2 linked regions of the Schizosaccharomyces pombe genome follow. The gene in region 1 interacts genetically with each later gene. Each region holds a gene or a part of one and is shown on either strand. Other genes may lie near its edges.

Evidence for each region.
Region 2: mutations in alg6 (region 1) and pmr1 impair growth when combined (synthetic growth defect), as found in Schizosaccharomyces pombe (one large-scale study listed by BioGRID).

What each region holds. Positions count from the first base shown.
Region 1 is NC_003423.3:4,198,661-4,203,710, forward strand, and holds alg6 (glucosyltransferase Alg6), read right to left. Parts: upstream 3,211-5,050; 5' UTR 3,043-3,210; coding exon 1,847-3,042; intron 1,799-1,846; coding exon 1,675-1,798; intron 1,617-1,674; coding exon 1,416-1,616; 3' UTR 1,088-1,415; downstream 1-1,087. Other genes in the region: Rho-type GTPase-activating protein Rga1, read left to right, coding at 1-1,087; glutaminyl--tRNA(Gln) ligase Qrs1, read left to right, coding at 4,757-5,050. UniProt on the Schizosaccharomyces pombe protein: Probable dolichyl pyrophosphate Man9GlcNAc2 alpha-1,3-glucosyltransferase that operates in the biosynthetic pathway of dolichol-linked oligosaccharides, the glycan precursors employed in protein asparagine (N)-glycosylation.
Region 2 is NC_003423.3:239,338-245,505, reverse strand, and holds pmr1 (P-type calcium transport ATPase Pmr1), read left to right. Parts: upstream 1-1,863; 5' UTR 1,864-2,436; coding exon 2,437-5,136; 3' UTR 5,137-5,668; downstream 5,669-6,168. Other genes in the region: ubiquitin-like protein modifier Hub1, read left to right, coding at 555-571, 642-743, 793-895; autophagy-associated protein Atg2, read left to right, coding at 5,993-6,168. UniProt on the Schizosaccharomyces pombe protein: Transports calcium and manganese ions into the cell. Regulates cell morphogenesis through control of manganese and calcium homeostasis.

The DNA.
Region 1 (5,050 bases):
TCTTGTACGGGATTATTATTCACTTGATGAATTGATGGAAATGAGCGATTTGCGCAAAGGTGGTTTCTGGGAAAAATTTGGAAAGGCTTTCAAGGGGAAAGATGCCGAAAAAAAGAACGTGAAAAAGAAAGGTACCTTTGGGGTGCCATTGGAGATTCTTGTTGAGCGTAATAACGCTCAGTCGACGGTTGGAACAGGCGTGGGTGTCAAGCATATTCCTGCCTTTATTGGGAATACATTGGCTGCTATGAAAAGAAAAGATATGTCAGTAGTTGGTGTATTTAGAAAGAACGGAAATATACGTAGGTTAAAAGAGCTATCTGACATGCTCGATGTTTCTCCGGATTCAATTGATTATGAGCAAGAAACACCCATTCAGTTGGCTGCTTTATTGAAAAAATTCCTTAGAGAGCTTCCTGATCCTCTTTTAACTTTCAAGTTATTTGGGTTGTTCATTACGTCTTCAAAGTTGGAGTCTGAGGAAGAACGCATGAGGGTTTTGCATCTTACAATATGTTTACTACCCAAGGGACATAGAGACACTATGGAGGTAATTTTTGGCTTTCTATATTGGGTTGCCTCTTTTTCCCACATCGATGATGAGGTGGGAAGCAAAATGGATATTCATAATCTTGCTACCGTAATTACTCCGAACATATTATATTCCAAAAGCAACGATCCTGTTGACGAAAGTTTCCTTGCCATCGAGGCTGTTCATCTGTTGATTGAGAACTTTGAGAAATTTTGTGAAGTCCCTCGAGAAATTAGTCTTTTATTAGATGATCCTACTCTTTTTTATAATAATGCGGCTTGGACATCTAAAGAACTATATAAAAGGTGTGAAGAAATAATTTCTCAGATGAGTCTTGACGAACGGAATACTCCAAAACATACGGCGTCTACAAAGAGGAAAAGGCAACCTATAAGAAGAGTTACAACTAATTTAACGTCAGACGTGCCTTCTGGTTCTGAAGTTGCTGACACAAATTCGCTTTCATCTACCACTAAAGATGAAGCTTCACCTAACAGCGATGCTCAGCCTAAACCTCAAGTTAAACCTCAGCATGCAGTCATTAGGGATTCCTAATTTATCGATACACAATCCCATTTGTCTTTTTTTGTTTTATCATATTTTCAATTTTTACTGAACATTAGATCAGCTACGAAAGTAGAAAGCTCGGTCTGGTACCGCTTACAACTTTGTCGTGTTGAATTCGATGGGATGATGGTACTTTAATAATCGTTCTTTTAATAAAAGGTTACTTGGCTAAAATAATATTTCAGGCAAATATAACTTTCGTTTAATATTTGAAGTCATGAATAACAATCCTTCTCCCAGAATTGTTTTAATAAAATCCTTTACTATATGTTGATTTTTCCGCGTAATAATGTAACATAAAATCATTTTGTTCAATTTATGCTTCTTTTTTGTTACGCAAATCAGTAGAAAGTTTACTTGAAATGTGTAGCAAGCGACCAAGAGTCCATAAGTAAATAGTAAAAAATCCGGCAAATGAAAGCGTAACATTAAGAATGACCCATAAATCGGGGTAACGGGATGGTGGTGGGATAAACAGATCAATTCCCAAAATAACAATCATACCAACATAAAAAGACTGCATCCAGTTAATACACCTGGCATAAAAAAATAGCAAATAATAAAAATAGTCTTACCAGTTGGATGAACCGAAAAAGGACGTTTTTTGAGAAAACTACCATGTCACCAATCCAATTCCACATTAATACTAATGTGAAGTATTGTAAACCAAGACCATCTTTTTTCAGTAACGGCCATAAGCTAATAAAAATATTAGTATAATTTAAACAGTAAATATGTATATTTTACCTGAAAACAGCAAGATTGTTTGCTAGAGCAATCCATGGTTTGGTTGTAATGTTTCCGTGACATAAGAGAATAGAAGTGGGAAGTAAAGGAAGAAGAACCGACTTTTCATGAACTTGGAAAGAGAACAAAAAAAACCCCCATGATGCACTTGCGAAACCCAGAGCTAAAAGACGTTTACGAGGATAAAGAAATAATATAACACAAGATGGGAGAATAGAAATGAGAGTAAAAATCAAGCTAATTACTTGGAGTTGATGTAAAGTAAACACCTCTCTAATTTTGAAAACAGTGTTGAGGGTGCACCAGAAATTAGCAACTTTATCTTCCCAAAGACCACGAGCAAACGGGAACACTCGATGAAGAATTTGAGGAAGCAATGTTTTATAGTCCATGTAAATCCATGGAAATAATATTAAGGAAAACGTAAAAACAACTGTGACTGACAACAAGATAAATCTTGAGAAACGAATCTTTGGCTTTACACAAGTTCCCAATAAGTAAAAAAAAATAGGAGGAGCAAAATATAGAGCCATCTGTTTAAACGTAAGAGCTAAACAGAAAAAAAACGTAGCAGCTACATATTGGTTTTTAAGCAAATTAGCGATTGCATACATAACTAAACCCAGCATAACACAGTTGTACTGAAAATGACCATGATCAATTAAGAGTAAAGCAGGTTGAAAAAGGACCATAATTAGGCTAGCATTTCTGTCCACAAAATTAGGTATACGGCGCGACCACCATTTGGAGTAAAACATTAAAGGGGGAACGAGTATTAGAAGATGAGATGCAATAACAGTAGATCTCATGAATAATTTTAATTCAAGACTTTCAAATCCACGAGATGTGACATCAGCAAACCATTCGGGGTTGAAAAAATAATGCCCAATTATACCAAAGAACCAAGAAACATATGCTGTTAAAGGAGGATAATCTAATCCCCACCATTGCAAATCTCTAAAATACCATTGAGACACAGGAGTATGCAATGTTAGTTCCATCCAATGTCTTTGCGCTTCAAAATCGCCATACATAGGAGGTGTATTATACCCAGAATAAGGACCGATAGATATAAGCCATTGCATGAAAACTAAACTCATTATAAGGCATGGAAAAAATAAAAATTTAGATGAATAGGATCGAAAACGAGAAACGAATTGTTGAACGGGAGCCCCATTCTCAAACTCAGATAGCATGTTTTAAGCGGCCGTCAAACGGTAAGGATTTCGCTTTAAAACTTTGGGTTTCTAAATTAAAATATCCAACTTGGAAAGCTTAAAGATTAAAAAACGAGTGAATTTGTATCCGGAATGTTTTAAACAAGGAAAAGCTAATTCAAAGCAGATACAAGTTGGGATAACAGTGAAATGGGTTGGGAACCACGAAGTGGACTATGGGTCCACCATTGCGATCATCGTGAAATATGGTTTTATAATGTCCAAAAAAATCAATTCACTTTTTAATTCATTCTTTCTTTCTTATTTTTTATTTTCAGTTTCAAAGCCTAAAAATTAAATACGCGCAAAGTTATCACTACATAATTGATCCAAGGGTGAGCAATAACATAAAAAATGAGTTGATAAACATGAAAATTAAGCTGTATCACTTATTGACTGATTTACTTTTCTCTTAAGATAGGTAAATGTTAGAATAAATTGAGCTTGGCAAGTTAGGAGTTTGTTTCAGTGATACTAGCCCATTAAATTCAATGAACTGAAATATATTACTTAATTGTTTGCTGTTTAATAATTTAGCTCTAACGAAAATCTTATTAGCAAAGAACATGCTAAGAAAAATAATTCCCTTAATACATTTACTATGTAATTGATCTCGAATTTGTAGCTGCAATTAAGAGCTTTGAAATTTTAAAAGTCTTTTCGTTCATGATAATTTCTAAAGAAAACCCTTGTTGGGCTAAAAAAAAAAGCGACGGTTTGACGAAAAATCATGCTTTTAAAACCAGAATTCATAATAATATTGTAAAATTATTTCTTGGTCTGTTACAGTTTTAAGTAAAAGCAAGCATTATCCTAATATTTTCTTTTTGCGTTGATGGAACACTGTGAAATCTCCATTATTTGTATAATTTTAAGCGATATTTACTAATCATATGTTTAGTTTAATTTTTTGTAAAACGATTTGAAATAGAAACTGAAGTTGTATAGTTACTAACATTATTTGCATTCTCGCATTGTTTGTATATTGTTTACTCTTCAGAATAATTTCAATATTTATGCTTAAGCTAAATGAAATATTTTCAAGGACTCACAAATAGTTATTTATATATTTTATGAAAATTTAAAACCTAATTAGATTAAATTTAATTAAAATACCCAAAAGTACATTCGTTTGAGAAGAGATACCAGATTGAATGAATAAAAACATACTAACTGCTTGGCGGGCAAATGAAATTCATTTGTACACTACAGTGGTTGATGCTGTTTTTAAAATCTAAACTTTTATAGCAATAAAGAATCATCCTCCCTTGAGTATTAAAGTGAAAGCAAAAAAGCCTTACTAGGCAAGAGCTTAGAACCGATAAACAACTATTCATTTAAAGGAAAAAAACAAAGATTCGGAAAGCATTTTGCGTTCTCTATTTTTTTAAAAAAAATTAAAAATATCTCAAAAGCGCAAAAGTGTGAATTCCTGTTTTAATTTTCAAACCGTAAACAAAATGTTTTAAATTTTAATTTAATACTGAAACTACTTTTATTAACTTAACGATTTTTAAGATTAGTTCCCTACTCCGCTGTTATGCAGATTAACGCAATGATAGGAGCTTATCACATGAATTGAAAGATAATAACAGCTTTATTAAAAACTTAACCGTACCCTCTCATTTTTCATCGCGTTTGCTGTTATTGCAATACTTATACATTTTTTGGAGGGAAGTTTTATTATACTAAAATGGACCAGGATTATGAGGAGTTACGTGCCAAGTTTACAAAAATAGGATTAAATGAAACAACGGTAAAAGATACGTTAAAAAATAAAAAGCTTTCTTCTTCATTAAATAAGGTCATTGAGGAAACTAACGTTGGTTCTTCGGGATGTGATAGAACAATTGGAAATTTGCTATTTACATTGGCCAACGCTTCTTTAAAACAAAAAGACCCGAAATCCAATGCTCATGAGGCATTCATAGCTTCCAAAATTGTATCTGGAGACTTAAAAACAAACCTCCAAGTCAATGCGGCTATT
Region 2 (6,168 bases), 4.0 Mb from region 1:
GAAGAATGCAAATCTTATGAGCAAGGCTCATACCTAATAGGAATTAGTAAGACCCAGCAAACCGGAGCGAACGCCTTTCGTAAGTACTCTAAAGTTCTTTATTTATGTATAGTGCGAAAGAAGGCAATCTTACAATAGGTTATTATTAGTCGCTATTTAGTAAACATCTAAAATGGCTGAAATCTAATATAGGACACATTCGATTAAAAGGAATTAATTGAAATATTGATAATTTGAATTTCAAATAAAAAATCACAAATACTCAGAATACTTATAAGGGGCCATTCATACGCTCGCATCAAATTATGTTGCTGATGCAATTGATACTTCACAAAGGTACTCAACGAGTATAGATTAAATGGATTTATAGTGGATTCTATACAATGAAACACATAAAACAATAACATGCACTACTGAATTCATTCTTATAAAATTCACCGGCAGGAAAACTAACGCACTTTCCTGACGTTAACGATTATTAACGAGACTAAAGTTAAATAACATTTAATGAAGACAAACTGGTAACTAAACTCTCCATTACTTTTGCATTCAATATGATCGAAGTTTTATGGTATGTTTGACTTATTTTACTTTCTGGGAGCATTGAAATTGGAAAACATAAAGCTCTAACTAAATTTTAGTAACGATCGTCTAGGGAAAAAAGTACGCGTAAAATGTATGCCTGATGACACAGTTGGAGATTTTAAAAAACTTGTTGCAGCTCAGACCGGTACAGATCCAAGGTAAGGATTAAATTCATCATTTGTTAAAAAAATGTTAACAAAAAAATAGAAGGATCGTCTTAAAAAAATGGCACAGCGTCTTTAAGGATAACATCACATTAGCCGACTATGAAATACACGATGGAATGAGCTTGGAGATGTATTATTCTTAAAAAGCGAAACTTTTATTTTCTTAAAAAATAATATACTTGGAAGTTTTATGTTAACGAAAGTAGCAAATTGACTTTAAACTTGTTTAATGAAAATCTGATGGATAGAGTTATATTGTTGAGCAGATTTGTTAAGTTTTTTACAAAGGAAATTTGGTTTATTATTTTCAATTTTTTTCAATTCACCTTCGAAGGTTTTGTATTTACCTGTTCAAACTACTAAATAAATAATGATTTTTCGTTGAAATGCTATCTTTTTGAGTCTAATAATTTGGATACTTTTTTATCTTTCAAATTGCTTACCTCCCCAAATTGTGATATAAGTCAGCTAGACAATGATAATAATATTGTTTTCTAGCTGCCATATCAATAGTTGTTCATCAAGCCTTTTACGCTTCTAGTCAAGTGTAACCGCTTTAAAAATGGAAACCAGTATGTTTATTCTTAATATGAATGGATTTTTCAAATTCAAATTTACCATTAAATTTACAAGGCTTATATCTTGTCATGGGTAGGACCAATTTCCTAGGTTCATGACCGTTTATGAAATTATGTCTTCAATGCTTCGTATTTATTCATCATACCAAGGAAGATGAAACAAATTATCAAGGAAAAGAGGGATTCCGAATTATATTAGTATAAAGCTTTATAATGTTACGCCACTGTTTTATTTCTTAGCCCTGCTTTCTTCTGAATGTAATATTTTTTTTTTTTTTTAAGAAAATAATTCTTTGAAACAGGTTTTAAACATTTTTAGTAATGATGAAACTCAATTGACCTGCTTTTCAAAAAATCAGAAAATTCATTAACATGAAAAAATTTCAGATATGTATTGGTTACCAAAAAATCATCTACGGGAGTATTCAATTTTTTTAAAACTATTCTCTGAATTGATTATACTTCTTTTACATTTTGGAGTTGTAATAGCTTGACTCAGAAGTATCTGCTAAGCCTCCATCTTTACTCAAGCTAACCTTTCCCAACTTGTCATCCAGACGATCACCTTCGTTGGTCTAAGCTTACCAGTCTAAAAGGTCGAAACAAAAGTACTGCTTTATTCTTTGAGAATATAAACAAGTGTTGTTCAAAGTTCTAAGCCAGGATTTGCGTTTTTGTATGCTGGGTCTGTTGGTATTTAACCAGAGACGTGCTAGGTTCATAAGTCCGATTTTCTAGGACTTTCTTTTGAAACGTTCTAACAGTGAGCTTGGACAGTTTATAAATTCTTTTTTTATTTCTCACGGGTTCCTTTCAACATTTCTTTGGATTTTATGAGTGATAAGTGGATATTGTTCATTGTCTAGATTAATTGTTGGTAAATTCATCTATCTCTTAATTTTCAACATTGGAAAGTATATTCTTTGTGCTGAGCATTTAGGAATCCTTTACATCTTAAATACTTGCTTTTATACTGGCGTTTTAGAAAGTATCGAATAGCAGTGTCTTTTTTTTTTTTTTGTTTACAAGATTTTTTATTTTTACATTACCCCAACTTTCTTTTACTACTTTTTCTCGTTTTTGTTTTTGTATGAAACAGTTCCATAATGAGTGTTCAATATGATGCATTCAGTGTTGAGCAAACTTGTGCGGATTTAGAAACTGACATGTATAATGGCCTCTCTAGTCTCCAGGAGATCACGCGACGTAACAAGGTTCATGGAGATAATGATTTGAAGGTAGAAGATGAAGAAAACATGGTGGTTCAATTTCTTAAGCAATTTGTTAAAGATCCCCTAATTCTTTTGCTTTTTGCAAGTTCTGCAATTTCGGTGACATTGGGTAATATAGATGATGCTATTAGCATCGCTTTAGCTATAGTTATTGTCGTGACTGTTGGATTTGTTCAAGAGTATCGATCTGAGCAATCTTTAAAGGCGCTGAATAACCTTGTACCTCATTATTGCAATGTTATCCGGTCCGGAAAAACGGAGCATATTGTTGCTAGTAAATTGGTTCCTGGAGATTTAGTTATCTTACAAATTGGTGATCGTGTTCCTGCTGATCTGCGAATCGTTGAAGCTACCGAGTTGGAAATTGATGAATCAAATCTAACAGGGGAAAACTCGCCACGAAAGAAGAGTAGCGAAGCTATATCTTCAAACATATCTCTTACTGAAAGAAATAACATAGCTTTTATGGGTACCCTCGTTCGTCATGGTCATGGGAGAGGAATAGTTGTCGCTACTGGATCTGATACGGAATTCGGTCGTGTTTTCCTTACTATGCAGCAAACTGAAAAACCAAAGACGCCATTGCAGAACAGTATGGATGACTTAGGCAAGCAACTCTCTTTAATCTCTTTAATTGGTATTGCCGTCATTGTGCTTGTTGGTTTTTTCCAAGGTAAAAATTGGTTAGAAATGCTTACAATTGGAGTTAGTTTGGCTGTCGCCGCTATTCCTGAAGGTCTTCCAATTATCGTAACAGTCACCCTTGCTTTAGGCGTGTTACGCATGTCTAAGAAGAGGGCTATTATCCGTCGGTTACCCAGTGTTGAAACTTTGGGAAGTGTTAACGTTATTTGTTCGGACAAGACTGGTACTCTAACAATGAACCATATGACAGTTACTAAAATTTATACATGTGGAATGTTAGCAGCTTTCTCCTTACCAGAAAGTGAACATATAGAGCTAAGTGTTAGGCGCACTGTTGGTATCGAAAAGGCACTTCTAGCTGCTGCTTTATGCAACAATAGTAAAGTTCATAACAAAGCTGATTCTATTTTGGACACTACTTGTCCCTGGGCTGGATTTCCAGTTGATGTCGCTTTAATCGAATGTTCTGAGCGATTCGGGTTGAAGGATCCTCGTGAAACGTACAGTCGTATATCTGAGGTTTCATTTAGCAGTGAGCGCAAATACATGTCTGTTGCTGTCCAATACAACTCTAGCAAAATGAATTTCATGAAGGGAGCCACTGAACAAGTGCTGTCAAGTTGTGCATATTTTAGCGATCAGGATGGTGTTCAACACGAGCTTACTGCGGAAATGAAGGAGAACATTCAACGTAACGAGTTTGAAATGGCTGCTTCGGGACTCAGAATTATAGCTGTTGCCAGTGGTATAAATACCAATAAACTTGTATTTCATGGTCTTTTTGGCATCAACGATCCCCCTCGACCCCAAGTCCGCGAAAGTGTACAATATCTAATGACTGGAGGGGTTCGAGTTATTATGATTACAGGTGATAGCGTTGTTACTGCAATAAGCATCGCTAGAAGTTTGGGTATGGCTATTCCTAGTAATGACGAAGAAGCAATTCGTAACTATGCGCTGACTGGAGCTCAGTTAGATGATCTTGATTCTTCCTCTTTACGTGATGCCGTTTCCCGTGTAGTAGTCTTTGCAAGAACTACACCTCAACATAAAATGAAAATTGTTGAAGCCCTTCAAAGCCTTGGTGATGTTGTGGCTATGACTGGTGATGGCGTAAACGATGCACCTGCCCTCAAACTTGCAGACATTGGTATAGCAATGGGTCGACAAGGTACGGATGTTGCCAAAGAAGCGGCTGATATGATTCTTACCGATGATTCTTTTGCGACTATTTTGAGTGCTGTTGAGGAAGGTAAGGGAATATTCAATAACATTAAAAATTTCATTACTTTCCAATTGTCTACGAGTGTGGCTGCTCTTTCATTAATCGCCATTTCGTCTGTTTTCGGCTTCCAAAATCCCCTCAATGCCATGCAAATTCTTTGGATCAATATTCTAATGGATGGACCCCCTGCACAAAGTCTCGGAGTAGAGTCAGTTGATGAAGACGTGATGATGAAACCTCCTCGTCCAAGGAATGCTCCTATTATATCAGTTCAGCTTTTACAACGTGTTTTACTCAGTGCATTTATAATAGTTACTGTCACTATTGTGGTATTTAGAGTACAAATGCAAGACGGCAATGTAACAGCTAGAGATACTACTATGACTTTTACTTGTTTTGTTTTCTTCGATATGTTTAATGCTTTAGCATGTCGTTCCGAAACAAAATCGGTTTTCAAGCTTGGTATTTTCTCTAATAGAATGTTCAATATCGCAGTCGGAGGCTCATTAATTGGTCAAGCCTTGGTAGTTTATGCTTCCCCCTTTCAGCGTATTTTTCAAACTGAAGCTATTGGACTTAAAGATGTTCTAATATTGTTAGCTTGTACCAGTTCTGTTCTCTGGGTTGACGAAATTCGCAAATGGTATCGTCGCCGTAAAGGTCTTGTTAGAACAAAGAGCAATTATCTGCTAAGGAATGTATAAATGATACGTTTTGCGGTAACAAGTTGCATATCTTTGTGCTAAGTTTAAAATTACTTAAGGAGCTTTACTATTATTTTGTGAATACAAAATTCCAATGCTATATGTATTTAAAAAATTCCTGTATTTTATTAATTTTTTGACTAATGATTATTAGCTTTCCGCTGGTTTCTTATTCTTATGGCACAAAAGGGGTTTGCTTCTCTGCCATGAAGTACTCGAGTCTATACCATTCGTTTAAAAGCTTTCATCGTTACTTTTCATTTCAGTTTTTTTTTTCGAAAATCCTGTATCTTGGTTAATTTTCAAGCACTTAGTATGTTCAGGCTTTATTATTCATCACCTTGATGCAGTCCTCACTGGTTAGTCTTAAAACCAAATTATATGATTTTATTCTGACTAAAGGTTAATCTAAAACATATTAGTTGTAGTTTCTATATAGAAACAAATAATAAAGGCTTATCAAAATTAAAGGTTTTAAAATCGGTTGTCGCTTTTCATCATTTAATTAATGCAAAAGAAAAATTATACGAGATTAAACAGCCGCGTTGCTCTAAATTGTTTTTGTATCATTATATCTTGTGCTGTTTCAAAGTCAGTTTATACATGTTTATTGAACAGTTGATTCATGTGACCGACTCGCCTTAAGTAATTTTTCTTGTCATTAACGTTTGGTCTTCAATGAGTAAATTTTCCATTCATTAGATTGTCACAAGATGTTGGCATTATTGTTTTTATTTCGTGTACATCAACGCTATCGTCGCATATTTGTCGTCCCACTACCAAAATCTGAATGAGGCAAATAAGTGTGAGATAGACACAAATTTGAACCCGAAATTCAATTAAGCAAAGGAGGATGATGAGGTTACCCTCATGGCTTAAAAATTCTTCCTCTTGGCTCTGGACGGCGGCGTTATCAAGGACTGTTCAACGTCGACTATTAGCATTTGCCTTGAGAAAGCTTATTGGATCCATTCTTTTAGAAAATGTGCAGCCTGAGGATATAGACATCCTTTTTTCAAAAGGGGTCCTAAT